Linked DNA regions of Oryctolagus cuniculus. The protein of the gene in region 2 purifies or fractionates together with the protein of the main gene of each other region. This does not show direct contact. Links are inferred from orthologs where the notes say so. Each region holds a gene or a part of one and is shown on either strand. Other genes may lie near its edges.

Region 1 (3,513 bases), on a different chromosome or scaffold from region 2:
ACCCTCACTAGGCTCCTATGGGAACTAGCAAATCTAACATAAATCAGGGGAATTCCTTACCTTGGGAGGCTTGAAGGGATATTCTGGTGTAAAAGTAATATCGAGAAAGAAGACGCCACCTTCGTACACAGATCCTGGAGGCCCTAGAATGGTGGATCTCCACTCATAGATGTTATCACCTTTGGGGCCAGCGCTGAAAAGAACACATCAACAGCTAAGCAGACGGTGGCATCACCCGACTCTCATACTGTATCAAAAAAGGGGAGCGAGAACCCCCTCCCCCACCTTTCTATCAAATGTGTAACTTTTCTTCAGAAAACAGAAGTATCTTTCTGATGCAGAAACTATAGCAAACATCAGCCTCGGGGCAAGTCAACTGGATGATTCAAGAATGTTAAAGTCATTCCAAGTTTACTTAGCTCTTAATAAGCAGGAAATGTTACTCAATTCTCAAACCTCTCCTTGCCACAGAACAAAGTGTAAATACTTAAACACCTTAGCACATACAGACAAACGACAGCAGTTTGAAGCGCAAAAGTTTCGTTTTCTGACACACTGGCTGTTTTCCTCCCTCGCTCTTGTATCTCAATAATCTTACCCTAAAAAGATCCAAAAGACGGCCACGCTTTTTTCTCATAAACCAAAACTATGCTGGGTGGGAAGAGAATGATGGCAAGTTATCCAGTTTTAATTTCAAGATCAAATCCTGTTACTGGGTTCTCTATTACGGTGAGGACACTAATGTCTGTTACTCTTGGTTACACCACGCTCTGACCACAGAACCCTTCCACAGCATTCTCTTGGCTTCCAGGGCACTTTGTACTGAAGCGTATATGTAATTTTTTAAAGATTTGACAGACGCCTTCATTCTGCTGGTTCCTCCCCACCTGCTCACCACAGCCAGGGCTGAGCTGCAAGGTCAGTCCAGGTCTCCACACGGGCGGCAGGGGCCCAGGGTCTTGCGCCTTCACCTGCTGCTTCCCCAGGGACTACAGGAAGCTGAGCCGAGTGGGGACTCAGACCCACTCTGACACGGAATGTGTGCATCCCACGTAGCAGCTCAACCGCCACGCCAAACAACCCACCTCCCACATATATGAAGTTTTAACAAATTTTATCCTAATTCTAGAAATTATTGAAGAGCTTAATTTAGCTTCCCAAACCAGTAAGTGCAGTACTATGGTCCTAAAAAGTGAAGGGGGAAAGGACGAAACTCTCAGGAAGCGGGCTGCCTCCCCACAGCACGGCTGAGCAGGGGCGGTGACAGAGTGCCCGACGCACCTGGAACTGCTCCCAGAGCAGTGCTGTGTGCGCGGAGAGGATGGCAGAAACCCAGCCAACACTCGCCCCACTCCTGCGGGGCAGGCAGCACGGCTCTCTCAATGACCATGAACGGAAAGCTGTGTGCTAGGCGGGTGAGGGGTTTTGACACTGGACAAGAGCCGGTTTTGACACCTTCATTTAAGAGAGAGGAGATGAGGAGTAGAGGAGTAAGAAGGCTACAGGTGAGCTCTGCTTTCCCCAGCTCCACCATGGGGTAGGAGTAGCCACAGCTAAACACAGGTTATGGGAACGTGCTTACAAAAACCCAGGGAAGCAGGACTTGGGGAGGAGTCATGGGTGAAGAAAAGGCCCCGACGGGGAGTGGGCACAGGCAGTGAGTTAGCTGTGTGTGCCCGAGAGCCCACTGTCGCCCTAAACCCACGTTCACACACCTGCCTCACAGGAATGGCTTAGGAATTAAGTAACTGAGGAAGAGCCCTGTGGAGCCCGTGGCAGCGAGCAGCACTGGTAATGATTCCCATTGGCTCTGACGATATGGCCCTTTAAACTCCGCGATGGGTGTTCCCAAGAACTATGAAAAACTTGTCTTCAACTGAACACATGAGCACACGGGGAGATCACTTACCACTGCCGACACTATGGAGTCACAGGTGCGTGTACTTGGCAGTGGACTGTGATTTTCACCGGGTGCAATGCAGGGAGCGCTCTTAGCCCTCTGTCCCTCTAAGAACGCGCAGTAACCCTGCCAGTGAAAGGCTCCGATTCCTGCTGCTTCATCTCCCGGGAGCAGACCTGGTCCCTGGTCACTTAAAACCTACCCGCCCACGTGTTTGAGTTGCTCTAATGTGATGCTGTTGGGAGGAGGTGGGCCACTGGGGCTCATCAATGACATCTTCATGAACGGGATCAGTGTCCTAAGAGACCCCCCCCTCCCAGCTTTCTTCCATCAAGTGAGGGCACAGCAAGCAGACACTGGATGGGCACTCGGACGCAGGCCCTGGCCAGACACAGCAGCACCATGGCTTTAGATTCCCCCCTCGGGAACTGATACATTTCTGCTGCTTGTAAGCCACCAGCTGATGGTATAGCCTTACTAGAACAGGCAGACTCTGCAGACGCTGGCCAGTAATGGCTGTGACTTCACCAGACTGCAGCTGGCTGAGATGTGGACTGAGAAGAGGAAGGTAACACTGACACACAGGTGCAGGACAAGATGAGTAATCTCTTACCTAGTCAGGAAGACAAAGGTAAAAGGCTACTACTCTCAACTCTCCATACTTCCATCTACTCTAAACGCCTCTCTACAGACCAGGAACCAGGCCTCAAAGTGTAGTACTGACACTATTCCCAGCGCCTGCTAAAGCCATACTGTTTTGGCCAGGTCCGGCTCCATGAGGCTATGAGACTGACTGACCTAGAGAAACAAGAGTGAGGTTAGTCTAACCTAGAGGTGACATCAGCTTTGCCTACTTCTCCCAGCCCCTTAAATAACAGAGAAGAGGTGCTCAACAGTGTGCCGGCTTGAGTAGATTATGTGAACTGTAAAGAAAACGGGGTCCCCAAATTCCACTGTGCATCAAAATTATCTATATAACTAAAAATGAAGACTCTTAGATTACTCCCCAGGCTGCATGAGTTAGAATGTCTACAGCAGGACCCCAAAATCTACACGTTCAAACAGCTCCCCCTGCTGAGTGGTAAACAGTTGATTTGCATTGGGAACCACGGGTCCAGGCTGCTGGAAATGGGAGAACCAGTTAGGAACAGGGGCTTTGAGATTCTCAGTGCATCCCCTGCGGTCCTAACTACAGCTCCAGATGAAGATTCCTGCTTTGCAGCCTGCCTTCTGTGTGTGTACACACTTCCCTGAAGGTTCAGAAAAGGCGCAAGGAATCCAATCAAGAACATTACAATCCAATCAACAGTTAATAATAAGGAAAAAGTTGTTACATTTCTGCTAAACAAGTGCACAGAGTAGCTACAATAATCAAGAACATAACAGAGACCCTGAAAAGTCTCGGGGGGGGGGGGGGTGTCCCTGGCCTGGGGTCTCAGCAATCACCATGAAAGGTCTGAGAAACCCCTAAGAAAGACCACCCATTGTTGCCTGAATGTTTGAGGAATTCACTGTCACTGGGGGAGTGCATGTGCATTTTATAGAGAAAAATAAAACAAAAACGATGACACAGTGGCATCCACAGTTTTCATCTTTTTTTCCCCTTCTAAGTT
Region 2 (4,193 bases):
TGGGGGCAGCAGGTCGCCAAAGCCACGGTGGGGACGGCGGTGCGGCCGGCTCCCGGTGCCCTCGCCAGCGCTCGGCACTGCAGCTGCAGCCGCCTGCAAGGGGTGCCGGCGCCCGCAGCTGGAGGAGCCTGCAGTGATTGTAGCTGAACTCGTCCTACGGGTCTCCATCACGCAGCCCGCAGTTCCAGCCCCAGAGAAAGCTGAGTCGGCTGCAGGAGGCTCGCGGCCACGCCGCGGAACTCGGGGGCTGGGAGAGCCGAGCACGCGGAGGCGCGGCTACGGGCGGCCGGCTCCCGAGGGGCCCCGCACCTGCGCCGCCGCGGCCACCGCCCGCGGGGACCCCGTTGCTAGGGCCGTTGCCAAGGAGGGGCCGCCAGGCGGGACTCGCTTCCGGGAGGAGGGCGGCTGTAACCCGGAAGCGCTCGGCGGTGCGGCGCTGTTTAAAGATGGCGGCGGAGGAACCTCAGCAGCAGAAGCAGGAGCCGCTGGGCAGCGACTCCGAAGGTGCGGACCGCGGGAGGGGTGTCCGGCCCGGGCCCGCGGCGGCAAGGCCGGGCCGGCTGTTCTCGGGGAAGGCGGCGGAGGCGGGGCGGCCGGGGCGGCCGCGACGCGCGGACGGCCGCTGCCTCCGCGCCTCCCTGCCCCCTCACAATGGAAGGCGCTCCCTCCGCGACCCCCGGCCGGGCGGGGCGGGCAGTCTCGCGGCCTGGCCGCCGGCGCGCGCCCGGGGCGGGGCCTGGGCCGCCCCGCCCTCCGCGCCGGGCTCCCGGGCCGGGGCCCCCGTCGGGCCGGCCGAGGCCTAGGCCCGGACCGCGGCGCCGGCGTTCGCTCACGGCCGAGAGGCGTCGAGCAGCGTGGAGGGCCGGCTCGGCCGGGTGCGGTGTTGTGGGCGGCGCTGGCCCCGGAGGGGCCGTGGGCGTCCGCCCCTTCGGACTTCGGCCGTTTCCGGTAGAGCCCCCTCTTCTGGCCTGGCCGCCTCTCTCCGCCCGCCCATTGTTTTCTTAGACCCCTGAGGACGTGGGTGCCTTGGAAGTGGCCCCACCCGCCTCCTTTTCCGTCCGGGCGCTGGGCCCCGGGGACCGAGCTGGGCATTGGGGGTGGGGGGTGGGGGTGGCGGCGGATGCAGAGCCGCGCAGGGCACGGGCCGGGGCCCAGCTGCGTTAACCCTGCAAGAAGTCGCTCAGCGCTCACCGGCACGGAGAACCGGCAAGCCCAGGCCCCAGCAGTGACTTGTTCAGGGTCACAGAATTTAAGAGCGAGCCAGGATCCGAATCCAGGTTTCGCGAGCCCTGCGCATGGGACTTCTGCAGAGAGGGGGCCCTGCTCCTAGAGCACGCCAAGGTACCCCCCCCCCCGATGCAGCACTTGGGGCGCCCGGGGCTCGGCGGCGAGGTGGCGGAGCAGAGCGGGGCTCGCTGGGCATTGGACACACGTGGGCGTGACCGCAGGTCTCTACTTGCCAGGATGACTTCACCCCTCTGCCTTTGTTTTGCTCTTTGGAAAATGGGCACCATCAGGGGTACCGTGGGAGGATGCGGAAGTGCAGGCCCCCAGGAAGCTCTGCCCGCAGCCCCCTGCTTTCCCCCCAGGAGACCTCGCCCTGCCCCCGAGCATTCCTGGGCAGGCCAGTGCTGATGGACAGCAGGGAGGAAGGCAGTGCCAGCTGGGACAGTGGACCCTGGGCCGGTGCCGGGCGGGACAGCGGACCCTGGGCCGGTGCTGGGCTGGGACAGTGGACCCTGGGCCGGTGCCGGGCGGGACAGTGGACCCTGGGCCGGTGCTGGGCTGGGACAGTGGACCCTGGGCCGGTGCCGGGCGGGACAGTGGACCCTGGGCCGGTGCCGGGCGGGACAGTGGACCCTGGGCCGGTGCCGGGCGGGACAGCGGACCCTGGGCCGGTGCCGGGCTGGGACAGCGGACCCTGGGCCGGTGCCGGGCTGGGACAGCGGACCCTGGGCCGGTGCCGGGCTGGGACAGCGGACCCTGGGCAGGTGCCGGGCTGGGACAGCGGACCCTGGGCCGGTGCTGGGCTGGGACAGCGGACCCTGGGCCGGTGCCGGGCGGGACAGCGGACCCTGGGCTGGTCGCCTCTTCCTCTCTTCCTCTCATTTTAAAGATGAGGAAGGATTTCTCCCAGTTGGGCACAGCTCGGGAGGAGAAGGGCGTGGGACGCCTGCCCCTGCCGCCAGCTGCGCATCCCTGGCCCAGCTGTCCGCAGCGGAGGGGCCAGGACGCCCAGTCATCCCCGGCTCCTCGGCCTCTTCCAGGTGTTAACTGTCTGGCCTACGATGAAGCCATCATGGCCCAGCAGGACCGGATTCAGCAAGAGGTGAGGGGCGTTCAGCGGGGGGGGCAGAGGCCGGTGACCCGGTCTTGGGCGAGGGCCGGCCGGTCTGAGTTGTCTCTCCCTCGGAGCGCCCTCCTCCTCGGGCTGGGCGGCACTGCACGGTGCTCTGTCCCGCGTTACTGGGTACCCAGCCCAGCCCTCTGCCCCTGCTCCAGCGTCCTGGCTGTGTTGCCCCCCGCAGATCGCAGTGCACAACCCCCTGGTGTCCGAACGGCTGGAACTCTCGGTCTTGTACAAGGAGTACGCGGAGGACGACAACATCTACCAACAGAAGATCAAGGTGGGCACCGGCCGCAGGGCCAGGACTGGGGCTTGCCGGGCCTGTGCCCTGGGGGGGGCGGTTCTGGAGGTGTGCCGGCTCTGGCCCAGAGACCTTGAGCCAGATGCAGGTCCCGCCCCTCAGCAGCGGTGTCCTGGGCAGGTCCTGAGGCCTGTGTGCGGCCAGGTGTGTGCTGGGCGGGGCCTCCCCACGGCTGAGGCTGCCCCTCAGCCCGCCTCCTGGATCTGCTGAGGTGGGTGGCTGTGGGTGTCACCAGCCAGGGCCAGCCCCTCCCCTCCCGCGTTCTGAGAGCAGAGCGTGACGGGTGTGGAGGTGTAGTGAACGTCTCCCCACAGTGAACCGGGGATGCTTGGAGCCTTCACCCGAGGAGAGGCCTGTGGGCGCAGGTGGCCTGGCCACGTGGACAGCGGGGCCCCCCTCCCGTCGTGGGCAGTGGCAGCCTTGCAGCGAGAGCGAGTGTCCGCCCCTCCTCTGCCCTGGGGCAGCTCCAGTTTGCCAAGGGGAGCCAGAAATAGTGAGGTCCCCCTGCGGCGGTGGGCAGCTGAGTAAGAGTCCACGTGTGGTCTGTGGTGGACACGTGGCCGTCCCTGGGGGGCCTGCGGGGAGGGGAGCCACGCTGCGGCAGCAGACCCCTGCGGCTTCCTGCTGCTGTCGGTCTCTGGGAGGAGGGGCCTTCTCCCTCGAGGGGCAGCTGCGGGCTGAGGGTGGTGCTGGCCAGCGCCCCGCAGCGCCAGTCCCGTGCGGAGGGGCGTGTCCCCGGGCCGCATCTCCAGGCTGCCTGTCCCACTGTCTCCCGTAGAAATCAACGGGGTGGGCTCCAGGTCACTCGGCATGTACTTGAGTGTCATAGGAAGTGATTGGGTGTTTAGGGCGGGTATTTGAGTGTCGTGGGAAGTGATTGGGTATTTAGGGTGCTCAGAGGCTCTGCTGGTATTGGATGTGGGTGAGGCCCAGATGGACACCGGGAAGCCTGGGTGGGGCGAGGCTGCGCGGTCACACCCCGGCCCTGTAGGCCAAGATGCCCGGGCTCTGAGGCAAGGGGGAGGTAGCTGGACGTGAGACTCAGCTGGAGTGGAGGGCGGACATCGCGTGGGTTTACATTTGGGGCTGTTGAACTTGGGCTCGATGCTGTCGTGAGCGTGAGCGTAGCTTGTTGCTGGAAGCCGCGTGGGGCACCTGCTGCACCATGCGTGGCCTGCGTTCCCTGGCAGGCGCCCGTGTGGGTATGTGAGGTGACCCAGGAATACTGAGGAAAGGTGCAGTGTGGTTTGGTGGTGGCCTTGACCTTCGGAGGGTGGAGGGGTGAGGAGGGTCTGCCTGGAGTTCAGGGGCGACAAGGACCCGTGGGGTCATTAAGGACCCGGACCTGGTGACCCCGGGGGCAGTGCTGCCCGGGGTTTGTGACCTTGGCTGGAGCAGGTGCCTCCTGTGTGGGAGAGCACGGGGACCGTGCACCTGGCCGCTTTCCAAAATTCTGCCGTAGAGAGGGAGAGGACTCGGGCTTCCGGCCTTCTGAAGTGAGGGCTGCCTGTGTGTCCCTGCGCAACCGGGACTGGCCGTGTGTCC
Region 3 (4,272 bases), on a different chromosome or scaffold from region 2:
CTGGACTGGAAGAGGAGCAACCGGGACAGAACCGGTGCCCCGACTGGGACTAGAACCTGGGATGCCTATGCCGCAGTCGGAGGATTAGTCTAGTGAGCCATGGCGCGGCCAAGAGAGAGAGGTCTTCTATCTTCTGGTTCACTCTGCAAATGGCTGCAACAGCCGAAGCTTCTTCCAGGTTTCCCACAATGATGCAGGGGCCCAAGGACTTGGGCCATCTTCTACTGCTTTCCCAGGCCATAGCAGAGAGCTGGATCAGAAGTGGAGCGGCCGGAACTGGAACTGGCACCCATATGGGATGCTGGCACTGCAGGTGGCAGCCTTACCCGCTATGCCACAGTGGGAGCTCCCATCCCCTTCTCACTGAACCTGCAACCACATACAACCATCGCCAAAAATGATATCTAGAGTTCTTTTCCTTTTGTACTTGGTTTTCAGATGCTTGGGCAAGAAAGTTGGAAGGGCTTAAAAATGTTGTGCCTTTTGATTTTTTCAAAGTAAGCATTTTAATCTCAGGTTCCATTTGTAATGCATTGGAAATGTAAAAGCATTTATAATAATAGTTCATGTAATTCAGAATAAATCTAATGTATAATTGCCTTTCTACAACTATTCTATGAGTTCATTTTCAGGTTTTTGCTATGTATCTGATTCTATGTCATTGCAATCATTGCTTAAATTTGAAATTAGAATTTTTTGATAATTTGATGGAATAAGGTGCAAATAGGAAATAAATTTCTTCCACTTAGTCCAGGAAATCACCTAGTATATCTATTTTCCAGAGTCACTGTGATTTTTAAATTTGCCACACTCATTTGAGTGTGATTTTAAATACTGATTGACCATGAGTCATAAGAAATAATTTTATCTTTAATGTGAGTCAGACTCATAGTTGTTAGGTGTGTTGCAGCAAGTAAGAGTGAAGATCGTTTTAGCTTTGTAAATATTAGATTTAACTGTGTTGCTAGGAATCTCAAACGGGAAAAAGTGAAAATAAGTATGATACAAATATGAAATCTAAAAATGCTTGTTGCAAATAGTCTAGCTCTGCAGTGCATTCTGTCACCAAAAAAGTTGCCTGTTAAATATTTTTACTTGTGAGTTTAGGAAAAAAAGAAACTCCCTTACAATGAAGAGATCATTTCCTGTTTCATTTTTCATTTTGTTTCGGCGTGAAGAGCTTTTGCCCCTCACTAGGAGTTGCTTTCAATCTCTCTGAAGGTCTGTTCTGAATTTACTACTTTGGGATTGGTGCAGCTGCCTTTTAAGTGCGTGCTTTGTTCTCTGAAAGGCTTATGTCAGTTGAGCAACATGCTGCTACTGTTAAAAAAAAAAAAAAAAAAGCTGAGTAATGCTGGAGCCTTCTCATGTGGCTGATGCAAACCTGGAGAATTTGCATCATCATGTAGCCGGAGTAAGTTGGTGTGACAGGCAAGAGCTTAAATACAAGCCCACGAGGAAGCTGAGCTGGTTTGTAATGATAGGGCAGCAGCCGCTGCAGCAACAGTGGTAGTGCGAGGAGGTGGAGAACTGAGGGCACCATGAACACACAGGTGTTTCTGAGTAGTAATTAGATAGCTGGGAAGGATAAAATACACCTCTGAGTTTCTACCTGTGTTCGTAATAGCGTTGAGAGAGACAATCTGAACGCAAAGAGGAGGAGATCAGTCACACCAAGAGACACTGAAGTTGAAAGTTTTGGTTTTCTTTTCCTGTGTTGTCTTTTTGCCCTGGTATCACTACTATGGTCAGAAAACCTGTTGTGTCCACCATCTCCAAAAGGAGTTACCTGCAGGGAAACGTGAACGGGAGGCTGCCTTCCATGGGTGGCAAGGAGCCCCCTGGGCAGGAGAAAGTGGTGCTCAAGAAGAAAATCACCTTACTGAGGGGAATCTCCATTATCATTGGCACCATCATCGGCGCAGGAATCTTCATCTCCCCCAAGGGTGTGCTGCGCAACACCGGCACCGTGGGCATGTCTCTGGTTGTCTGGACGCTCTGCGGAGTCCTGTCCCTGTTCGGTGAGTACGACTTCTTTCCTGGGAGGTGTGGCTGGGAAGTTTGCAATCTGCTAACTTTGAGGAGTGAAGGAACGGCAAAGCCTGTTCCTCATTATTTGATTTTTGTTGAGGTATGTGAAATGCTGCAACAGAATGCTCACTGTTGTTCTGATCCTAAGTTGCCCCAAATTGCTTCCTGCAGGCTATGCTGTCTTTTCCTGACTCAGACAGACTATTTTCTGACTTTCCCCGTGGTGATGTGCGCATAGGCAAACTTTGATGACCTAGGAAAATGCATGCATGCTTTCTCTCCTGGCTGTTGTGCTTAGTTACATCTGGTGGGGGCATTCAGGCAGCTGGCACACTGAATGAGACACCTGTGAGGCAAAACCCGGAGTGGCCTATTCAGACCCAGAACTGAGCATTCAGCTTGAGTCTCACTGACTTCTGATTAGCAAAACAAATGGGCAGCAGTCTCTTCCTTCTAAGTTCATCTGCTTGTCAATTCCTGATATTCTTTCAAAAGTCAGTGACATGGAAAGATGCATGCAGACCCTTAACTCAGTCTCTCTCATCCGTGGGAATGTGGCAATGTCCTGAACATACTTCAAATATTTTTCAACCTTTATCTCTCCTTAACACTTCTCACCTTCTGCAATGCAAGTTTTAAAACTTCCTTGGCTGTTAGCTTGTTGTGCCTGGCTGGGTCTGTTCTCTTCGTCTGTGTTTCACTTAGTTTCCAGGAAATCAAGTAATTTGTCTACCTGTTCACCGAGTTAATTTAAAGAGAAGTGGTCAAAGAAGTATGATTTTTTTTTCAAGATTCATGTCTCTCCTATTGATTTATGAGTTAATGATACAGAAGTAATAAATGATGCTTCATATCATTGGCAGATTGCTAGAAAGTTACCTGAGTTAGTTGGAAATGTTACAAAAACTGCAGTTATCAAAAATTAACTTGATTTATGCTATGCAGTGAATGCCTAAGATTATTTGCTCATCTCTGAAATAGATTGTTTTGATTTTGAAAGTTACTACGCTTTGAAGTTATTGATCTTTTCCTAATTCTAGGACCAAGTACTAACTCTTAGTCCAATAGGTACCCATACATTCAGTCTTTCTATTTGAATCTTGTGATATTTTAATCCATTGCTTTGGGCAGTCATCGGCAGGCTTATATTTTTAGGAGGAAAGTATTTTAAGTAAAATCTGTTAAAACAAAGTCAGTGTCAAAAATATTTTTAGGTTTTCAGAAAGAGTTTGTAGCATTATTTATGTGAAGAGTTTGTGTTTTATAAAATATTCAGTAATATTGTGTGTCATTGTTTTCCAAGTGTTACTCTCCATCCTTATAGAATACCTTGAAGTAGTCTGATTATGGCAAACTGACAGAACCCTTGGCTGTGATTAATATTAAAATAGTTCTTCATATACAGTTATAAATAAAGAGAAACCTAATTGTTTATCTTCATAAAGACTCTGTGCACCCTCAGCCTTGAATCTTCTTGCAGTACTTGGGCTGTTCAGAATAAATCAATATTTGATCAGAAAAACCACAGCCAGTTTCCTGGACTTTGCATACTTATGTATATGCATTTTTCATAATGTGATTCCATTCTTGCACATACAAAAACTTATTGAGATGTAACAAACTAGACTACTCTGAGTATTCAACTGGTAAAAGTGATGTTGACTTGGCACTATGACAACATGGTAATGCATTAGTATGTCATTTAGAGCAGTAACTCAGAGAAAACAAGCCAAAGTCACATGTGAGTTGGTATTTTTTGATTACTAATTGCAGGGAGGGAGTGTGCTCTTGTATTAATCTACTTCTCTGTATTTGCATTGACTTTGTCACTTAAAGTACTAGGAGCCTTTTGACAGGAGCACCTCCCTAACAGGAAGCAAAGCAAATGTAAGGAAAACATTTTTTTCTGGGACTAAAAGTAAAGAATCTGTGTACAAACAGTCCCTAACTCAAGATCGTTTGATTTATGATTTCACAGTGGTGTATAATAATAATAATAACTTATCCAATAAATCATCCACACTGTTCAATACTTTATTATAAAACAGATTTTGTGTTAGATGACTTTGCCCAACTGTAGGCTATTGTGAGTATTCTGAGCATATTTAAGATGAACTAGGCTAAGCTGTCATGTTCAGCGTGTTAGGGGCATTAAATGCAAAGTTCATATATGTCATTTTCAACTTACACTGGATTTATCAGGAGATAACCCCATCATAAGTGGAGGAGTGTCTGTATTTG
Region 4 (3,513 bases), on a different chromosome or scaffold from region 2:
AAAATACTAAAATTTCTCAGACGTATCTTTCTGAAAAGGGGGCAGTAGTTGAAAGGTGAGGACGGAAAGACAGGAATAGCTTACTGGTTCAGTGTGGGAAGAGGCGGAGCCTCTAGAACTGCTCTGTCCAATACAAAACCAACTAACTACATATGTGTGAATACACAACTTTTGAACTGGGGCTACCCAAAGCATCAAAGTATAAAATCAGATTTCAAAAACTTGGTGGCAAAAAGATGATGTAAAAGGCATCAGAAATAATACTGTACTTATGTGAAAATGACAGTGTTTTGGTACTTGGCTAACCAAAACAAATTATTATTAATTTTAGGGGTACTTGTTTGACCTAGCAGTAAAAATACCACTGAAGAAACCTGCATCCAGTATTTAAGTGCCTGGTTTAGTGTCCTGGCTCCATTTTAGGTTCTAGCTTTCTGATGTCGTGTACCCTGGAAGGCAGTAGGGGGCGGCTGATGTGGGTGGGTCCCTGCCATCCGCAGGGGACATTGAGTTCCCAGGTCCTAACTTCAGCTTGGCCCACACCTAGTTGTGAGCATTTGGGAGAGGGAGCCAACATATGGGAACTTGTTCTCTTATCTCTCAAAGTAAGTAAATAAAAATATAAGTTTATGGTCTCTTTTTCCATTTTTAACTGTGCCTACCTGAACATTTAAACTTCTATCTATAGTCTCTATTATAATTCTATTAGTGCTGCTCTATAAAATGAGGAATAATGTATATTCAGGTTATTGACACTCAATAGAGACACAGTGGTTTACAAATAAAATTAATATTTTGAAAATGTTCAGCTCTTAATAACTAGAGAACAAAAATACTATTCATGAACAGAAGAGAATTACATATTTATCATTCAACAAGTTCAACTTTTAACTTCAAAAAACAGGAACTAAACAGAAATAATTGTTCCAACAAGTTAATAGCAGAAACTTCGTTTGTTTCAAATGTCCAACATTTTTTTAGAACTTAGTGATGCCTAATTCTACATAAGTTATCTTAGCAAGAGGAGTAAACAGAAATTAAAGAATTAGAAAATTAAATTATAATTTCAAAAATTAATAAGCTGAATTTGAAAAGAACTGCATTAATCAAAATGATAAATCACACACAGAACAACTGTTTGAAACCCATGTTAGTCAACCCATTTTCCATTAAGTTGATAGGACAAATGTTAACAGTGTTATAATTCTGTATAAAATAAATCTTGCTTTTTTCCCCTAGTTTTGCTAACATGTTTAAAGCAATTCTAATATGGAACACTAGGCAGAGTTATCACTACTTATAAATACAGTTATAAGGTATTTCTAAAATTTCATTTGTTTTCCTGTAATACAGAGTACTTTTAGCATTATACTAACATTTAAAGGTGTTAATCAAATTAGGGTTTCGCCCTTTTAATTGATTCAGCAAGATGGATTCTATAGACCTGGAAACAGTAAAAAATATATTAACTTCAAGATCTTAGATTCTTTTTTTTTTTTTTGACAGGCAGAGTGGACAGTGAGAGAGAGACAGAGAGAGAGAAAGGTCTTCCTTTGCCGCTGGTTCACCCTCCAATGGCCGCCGCTGCAGCCGGCGCACTGCGCTGATCCTGGCAGGAGCCAGGAGCCAGGTGCTTTTCCTGGTCTCCCATGGGGTGCAGGGCCCAAGCACCTGGGCCATCCTCCACTGCACTCCCTGGCCATAGCAGAGAGCTGGCCTGGAAGAGGGGCAACCGGGACAGAATCCGGCGCCCCAACCGGGACTAGAACCCGGTTTGCCGGCGCCGCAAGGTGGAGGATTAGCCTATTGAGCCACGGCGCCGGCTGAGATCTTAGATTCTGATGGAACACATAGAAAAACACTCCAAAAATAATCTGGTAACTGTAACTGACAGTAAATATTTGTAGGGGATCCAGACCTTGGCATCTGCAACTTGAGGTAAATACCACTAGGTGGCACTGTTGTTACCTTATTATATAATGCTTTCCTGAGACAGAATCTTTCTTAAATCTTTACGTAATATTTATTATATATATTACACACACATGCATCAAGTTGCTACATAAATTGTAATTTTAAAAGATTTTATTTATTTGGAAGACAGAGACACACACACATAGGCAGAGTGATTTTCAATCTGCTAGTTCACTCCCTAAATATCCACAATAGCTGGGGCTTGCCCAATCTTATCCCAGGAGTCTGGAAATCAATCCAGATCTCCAACACGGGTAGCAGGGACCCAAGTACTTGGGCCATCATCTTCTGTTTCTGAGGGTGTACATTAGCAAGAAAGTTGAAAGTGGAGCTGAGACAAACCCAGCCACTCCAAAATGCGATGTGGGCGTACCACGCAGCATCTTTACAACTGTGTCAAATGCTTCCCCCTCTACATAAACCTTAAATAGTATAGGGCATAAGAGGAATAATGTAGCAGCTAAGGGCTATAGGCTTGCTAACACACTTTTCCCCCTGGCATGTTGAACGTCTCTGGAATAAAAGTACAATTGTGTTCTGATTTCGTTCTGGCATTTTTTTTTTTTTTTATATAGCTTGACAGGTAAAAGGAAGGAAGCCATTCACATGAGTGTCTTGTTTAAGTTTTGTAAACTAATTATGTTACGTTTAAGTCTGGTAAACTGACAGTTATGACAAGGCACAACTTAATGCTTCTCTTTGTTAGCCATGTAATTCATATTTCAAGTGAATGAAGCACTAACAGGCAGAAACCACCCCCGGTCATCCTCCACTTCCAGTACAAGGTCATACCCACGCAGCCACATTACTAGTTTCCTGTGTATCTGTTGTAGTTTCCCAGGTTTTTGCTTATCTATGAAGGATTTCGCATAAAACTCACACTAAACTCTCATTTCTGCAAACTGTCAGTTTTTTGTCCCAGTATGTTTCTTAGAGAAGGTTCACCGAATATTTTCCCTCAGAAGTTCAAAATGTATCTGCCTCACTGATATGCAAAGTATAGTTTTATTTACAATTAACAATTCACCTTCCTTCTGTTGATCACAAAATTATTTGTAAGACTCAATTACTTTCAGTTTTAAAATTCTTTCATGTGAGATTCCACATAAATTCATGAAAAATAATGAAATAAAATGCAACCAGAATACAAGCAAGTCCTAGAATTAATGATTTCAGAGAAGAATGAATATTAAAGAATATACTTATATGTTCTTACCTTTGGTGGTTTAAATGGATAATCTGATGAAAATGTGATATCCAGAAAAAACACACCACCTTCATATACAGAACCTGGTGGACCAAGTATAGTTGATCTCCACTCATAAATGTTATCTCCTTTAGGCCCAGCACTATTTAAAAGAAATTAAAAATCAATATATACATCTGCAAATATACATGCTAACATCTTAAAACCAGTAAAGTATTAAAGGTAAATTGGTAAGAGCAACAAAGAATGAGATTAAGTATTAAAAAAAAAAAAAGCAATAAGCCCTAATGTGCTCAGGCATATGTATAAAAACCTATTTTAAAATATCTCAA
Region 5 (3,513 bases), on a different chromosome or scaffold from region 2:
GGCTGCTCCACTTCCGATCCAGCTCTCTGCTGTGGCCTGGGAAAGCAGTGGAAGATGTTCTTGGCCCTCTGCACCCACAAGGGAGACCCAGAAGAAGCTCCTGGCTCCTGGTTTTGGATCGGCTCAGCTCCGGTTGTTGCAGCCATTTGGGGAGTGAACCAGCGGATGGAAAACCTCTCTCTCTCTCCCTCTCTCTGCAACTCTGTCTTTCAAATAAATATAAATAAATCTTTAAAAAATTTAATTAAAAAAATTTAAGCATATAAAAGAGCTTTGGGGCTGATACTGTGGCGTAGTGGGTAAAGCTGCTGCCTGCACAATCAGCATCCCATATGGGTGCCGGTTCGAGTCCTAGCTGCTCCGCTTCTGATCCAGCTCTCTGCTGTGGCCTGGAAAGCAATGGAAGATGGCCCAAGTCCTTGGGCTCCTGCACTCATGTGGGAGACCTGGAAGAAGCTCCTGACTCCTGCTTTTGGATCAGCCCAGCTCCAGCTATTGTGGCCACTTGGGGAGTGAAGCAGCAGATGGAAGACCTCTCTTTCTTTCTCTGCCTCTGTAACTCTGCTTTTTAAATAGATAGATAAATCTTAAAACAAACAAAAAAACCAAAAAACAACCAGTCACGAATGTTGCGGACATTTGGGGGGGGTGAATCAGCAGATGGAAGTTCTATCTCTTTCTTTATTTCTCAGCCTTTCAAATAAAATTAAAAAAAAATTTTCAAAAAGTTTGTGGGAAACTGGAATTTAAAAATGCAAAATTTCCAGGAATTTTGAAACTTCTTTGTAACACACAAAATTTTATTTATATATGAATTCCCAAATGCCTACAATAGCTAGGTCAGGCTGAAGCCAGGAGCCCAGACCTCTATCCAGGTCTCCTACATGGAAGACAGGCACCCAAGTACGTGAGTCGTCGTCCACTGCCTCCCAGGGTGCGTATTAGCAGGAAGCTGGATTGGAAGTGGAGGAGCCGGGACTGGAAACAGGCACTCGATATGGGCTGTGGTCCTCAAGTGGCAGCTTAACATCCTGCGCCACAATGCCTGCCCCTAAAAATATTTCTAAATTAGAAGAATAAAAACAAACCCAAATCTCTCTAAGCTTTAGTTTAGGTTATCTCCATCTCACTGAATGGGGTGCAGTGGTTCTCCCACAAACAGTTGTCCTTGCCGGGTTAAGACAAGACTCGGTGGCCCTCCTGGTGTGGTCTTAGCTCACCCTTCCCACATTCCCAGGCTGGACCAGTGATGTTCAACTGGGGACAGCTTCCCCTCCCCACAGACATTCTGCAATGTCATGCCTTGAGGGTTGGGGGGGGAGTGCATGTGTGATACTGGCTTCTAGTAGGTAGGACAACAGACCCATAGACAATACCCCTCCAAACTGACAAAGACTAACTCAGCCCCAGGTGTCAGTAAGGCTGAGGCTGAGAAATGCTGAGACTGACTGATTCACTCTGCCACTCCCAGGTACGCACCGGCATCTCCTGCTTCCAGGGCACTGCCCACGAGGATGCTCTCTCCAAACTTGTCTGTTCACCCAGACTCACTTCTTCCTCAAACGTGCCTCCTTGTATTTCCTCAGCCACCTCAGCCCACATATCACAACCACCCTTGTCTGAATTTTTAAAAACTCATCAAGTATTCATGGGCCTCCTGACACCATTTACGTTGTAATCCAAATCCCTTTTTAGCTCTTACCACGCTACCACATTTTCTTGTGTCTTTATGGTTGTCTACCCAGCTAGATTCATCAGCTTCCAAGGACCATTTAGCACAGTGATTCACAAGCTATAGGTCCAGGACTTCTAATGGAGAGAGAGAGAAGACGCTCACCTTGGGGGCAATGCGTACTCGCTTGCTATGGCGGGCGAGCTCTGAGCTCATGAGCGAAGCTGCCAGGGGCAATGGCACCTTCACTGAGGGCTGCAGCACCAGTGACTGGTTCACTGGGAACTGGATGGGCACCAGGTAGGAGCTGACTCGTGGTAGCAGTGGCTTCATCTTCCGCCCTAGGAGGAAACCAGAGAGATAAGAGCAGGGGGACAGAGGCCCACCCCTTCTCAGTCCCAGGAGCTTTGCTCTCCTCTGGGCTCAGATCCCTTTGAGCTGGGAACAGAATCCCGGAGTCTTGATCCACTACAGATATGCCCCCAGAACAAGGCCTAGGCCTGAGGCCCACTCTCCCATACTAACGTGCGCCCAGTGGGAGTTCAGTTTTGATGGTCACGTTCCGGCGGAGCTCAGCATTGGGTCGTTTCTGCTGCTGCTTGTGGCGGGTAGGGAGAGAAAGAAACCTAGGTTAATAAGGGAAGGGGGAAGCAGAACCCCACCAGCCTGAGCTGGTGCACTTGAGCTAACCAACAGCCCAGAAAGAAAAAGCCAAGTCGAAGGTATGGATACAGGTGGGCACAATCTCTAAGGCCCTGGTAAGCAGACAGGTGGACAGCATTCGATGGCAGGACAGCACTGCCATCTCACCCACTTGTCCTCACCACCCCGAGGGATGCCAAGCACGTAGCCATGTGAGTGGCAGAGAAAAGCCAGGGAGAAAAGTGAGAAAACTGTCCGCTTCCTGGAGCCATGTGCCATGCGTCTGCCACTGCTGTGGCATGTTCTCCTGCTGTGCCGTGCCCTGCCCTGCACAGCACACCTTGGTGATGCCTGTGGGAAGAGGAGGAGAGGCAGACCCGTGGCCAGCAGCCTGGTGTCCCTCACTTCCAGCAGCTGTAAGGTGCTCTGAGGTCGGGCACAGCGGTTGCACAGCCGTGGACCGCCTTCCCCGCCTCGTGTCTTCTCTCTGTTCACGAAAGCCATGCTGAGCAGTGAAAGGAAAACAAGACAAAGCCCCGAGCCAGAGGGAAAGAACCTTACTGATTCCAAGTGCTCGGGCGATTGTGGAGACCCTGGGTCCAGTGGCTGGTGGCGGCCAGGCATCAGGGGAGAGAAATGACATGAAGTTACCACCAACCAGGCTGGGAAGAACACCTGTTCCTGATTGATGCTGAGACATCGGACGCCTGGGGCCCCCAAGAGAATGCAGGTACAGCAGCCTAAAGGGCACCCTGAAATCCCACAACAAAAAGTTCTGGGGCCTCTGCTTCCTGTCTCGGGCCTAAAGGGCTTTACTTCAAGTTTCCCAGGGTTTCTCTGTAGCAACCACCTGAGACACTTGTTTAAAAATGCAAATTTCTAGGCCCATGCCAGGCCCGCTGAATGAGCAGCCCTGCGAAACGGGTCTGGAAAACTGTAATTTAACAGATGTCCCAGGCAATTCTTATTCGCAGTCTTGGGAAATCCTCAATTTTGGGTCACAACAGCGCTCTCTGTGCCGTGGCCTAGCCTAGAAGTGTGTCATTCAGTATTTCTCAACTGTACTTAATTCAGCGAGTTTTACGCAAGTCACCGTCTGGCCGGCCTTCACTCCCCCGATCACATGGAAGCATCGCAAAGAGAACTCGTTTCCTTCCGAGATGGCCGGGACAACCTCCACCTCTGGCCCTGTTTAGAGG

Evidence for each region.
Region 1: the proteins of OTUB1 (region 2) and UBE2E1 purify together in Homo sapiens (affinity purification with mass spectrometry; 4 studies listed by BioGRID and IntAct, with this or other methods). This does not show direct contact. The link is inferred for Oryctolagus cuniculus from reciprocal best matches to the Homo sapiens genes OTUB1 and UBE2E1.
Region 3: the proteins of OTUB1 (region 2) and SLC7A11 purify together in Homo sapiens (affinity purification with western blotting; 5 studies listed by BioGRID, with this or other methods). This does not show direct contact. The link is inferred for Oryctolagus cuniculus from reciprocal best matches to the Homo sapiens genes OTUB1 and SLC7A11.
Region 4: the proteins of OTUB1 (region 2) and UBE2E3 purify together in Homo sapiens (affinity purification with mass spectrometry; 3 studies listed by BioGRID and IntAct, counting the BioPlex papers as one, with this or other methods). This does not show direct contact. The link is inferred for Oryctolagus cuniculus from reciprocal best matches to the Homo sapiens genes OTUB1 and UBE2E3.
Region 5: the proteins of OTUB1 (region 2) and FOXM1 purify together in Homo sapiens (affinity purification with western blotting; 4 studies listed by BioGRID, with this or other methods). This does not show direct contact. The link is inferred for Oryctolagus cuniculus from reciprocal best matches to the Homo sapiens genes OTUB1 and FOXM1.

The regions. Positions count from the first base shown.
Region 1 is NC_091435.1:159,783,416-159,786,928, reverse strand, and holds part of UBE2E1 (ubiquitin-conjugating enzyme E2 E1), read right to left. Parts: intron 194-3,513; coding exon 61-193; intron 1-60. UniProt on the Homo sapiens protein: Accepts ubiquitin from the E1 complex and catalyzes its covalent attachment to other proteins. Catalyzes the covalent attachment of ISG15 to other proteins. Mediates the selective degradation of short-lived and abnormal proteins.
Region 2 is NC_091432.1:7,239,757-7,243,949, reverse strand, and holds the start of OTUB1 (ubiquitin thioesterase OTUB1), read left to right. Parts: upstream 1-1,391; 5' UTR 1,392-1,532; coding exon 1,533-1,686; intron 1,687-2,267; coding exon 2,268-2,329; intron 2,330-2,528; coding exon 2,529-2,627; intron 2,628-4,193. UniProt on the Homo sapiens protein: Hydrolase that can specifically remove 'Lys-48'-linked conjugated ubiquitin from proteins and plays an important regulatory role at the level of protein turnover by preventing degradation.
Region 3 is NC_091439.1:26,518,153-26,522,424, forward strand, and holds the start of SLC7A11 (cystine/glutamate transporter), read left to right. Parts: upstream 1-1,461; 5' UTR 1,462-1,744; coding exon 1,745-2,021; intron 2,022-4,272. UniProt on the Homo sapiens protein: Heterodimer with SLC3A2, that functions as an antiporter by mediating the exchange of extracellular anionic L-cystine and intracellular L-glutamate across the cellular plasma membrane.
Region 4 is NC_091434.1:59,872,592-59,876,104, forward strand, and holds part of UBE2E3 (ubiquitin-conjugating enzyme E2 E3), read right to left. Parts: intron 3,324-3,513; coding exon 3,191-3,323; intron 1-3,190. UniProt on the Homo sapiens protein: Accepts ubiquitin from the E1 complex and catalyzes its covalent attachment to other proteins. In vitro catalyzes 'Lys-11'- and 'Lys-48'-, as well as 'Lys-63'-linked polyubiquitination.
Region 5 is NC_091440.1:106,455,847-106,459,359, reverse strand, and holds part of FOXM1 (forkhead box protein M1), read right to left. Parts: intron 2,921-3,513; coding exon 2,876-2,920; intron 2,271-2,875; coding exon 2,198-2,270; intron 2,014-2,197; coding exon 1,838-2,013; intron 1-1,837. UniProt on the Homo sapiens protein: Transcription factor regulating the expression of cell cycle genes essential for DNA replication and mitosis. Plays a role in the control of cell proliferation. Also plays a role in DNA break repair, participating in the DNA damage checkpoint response.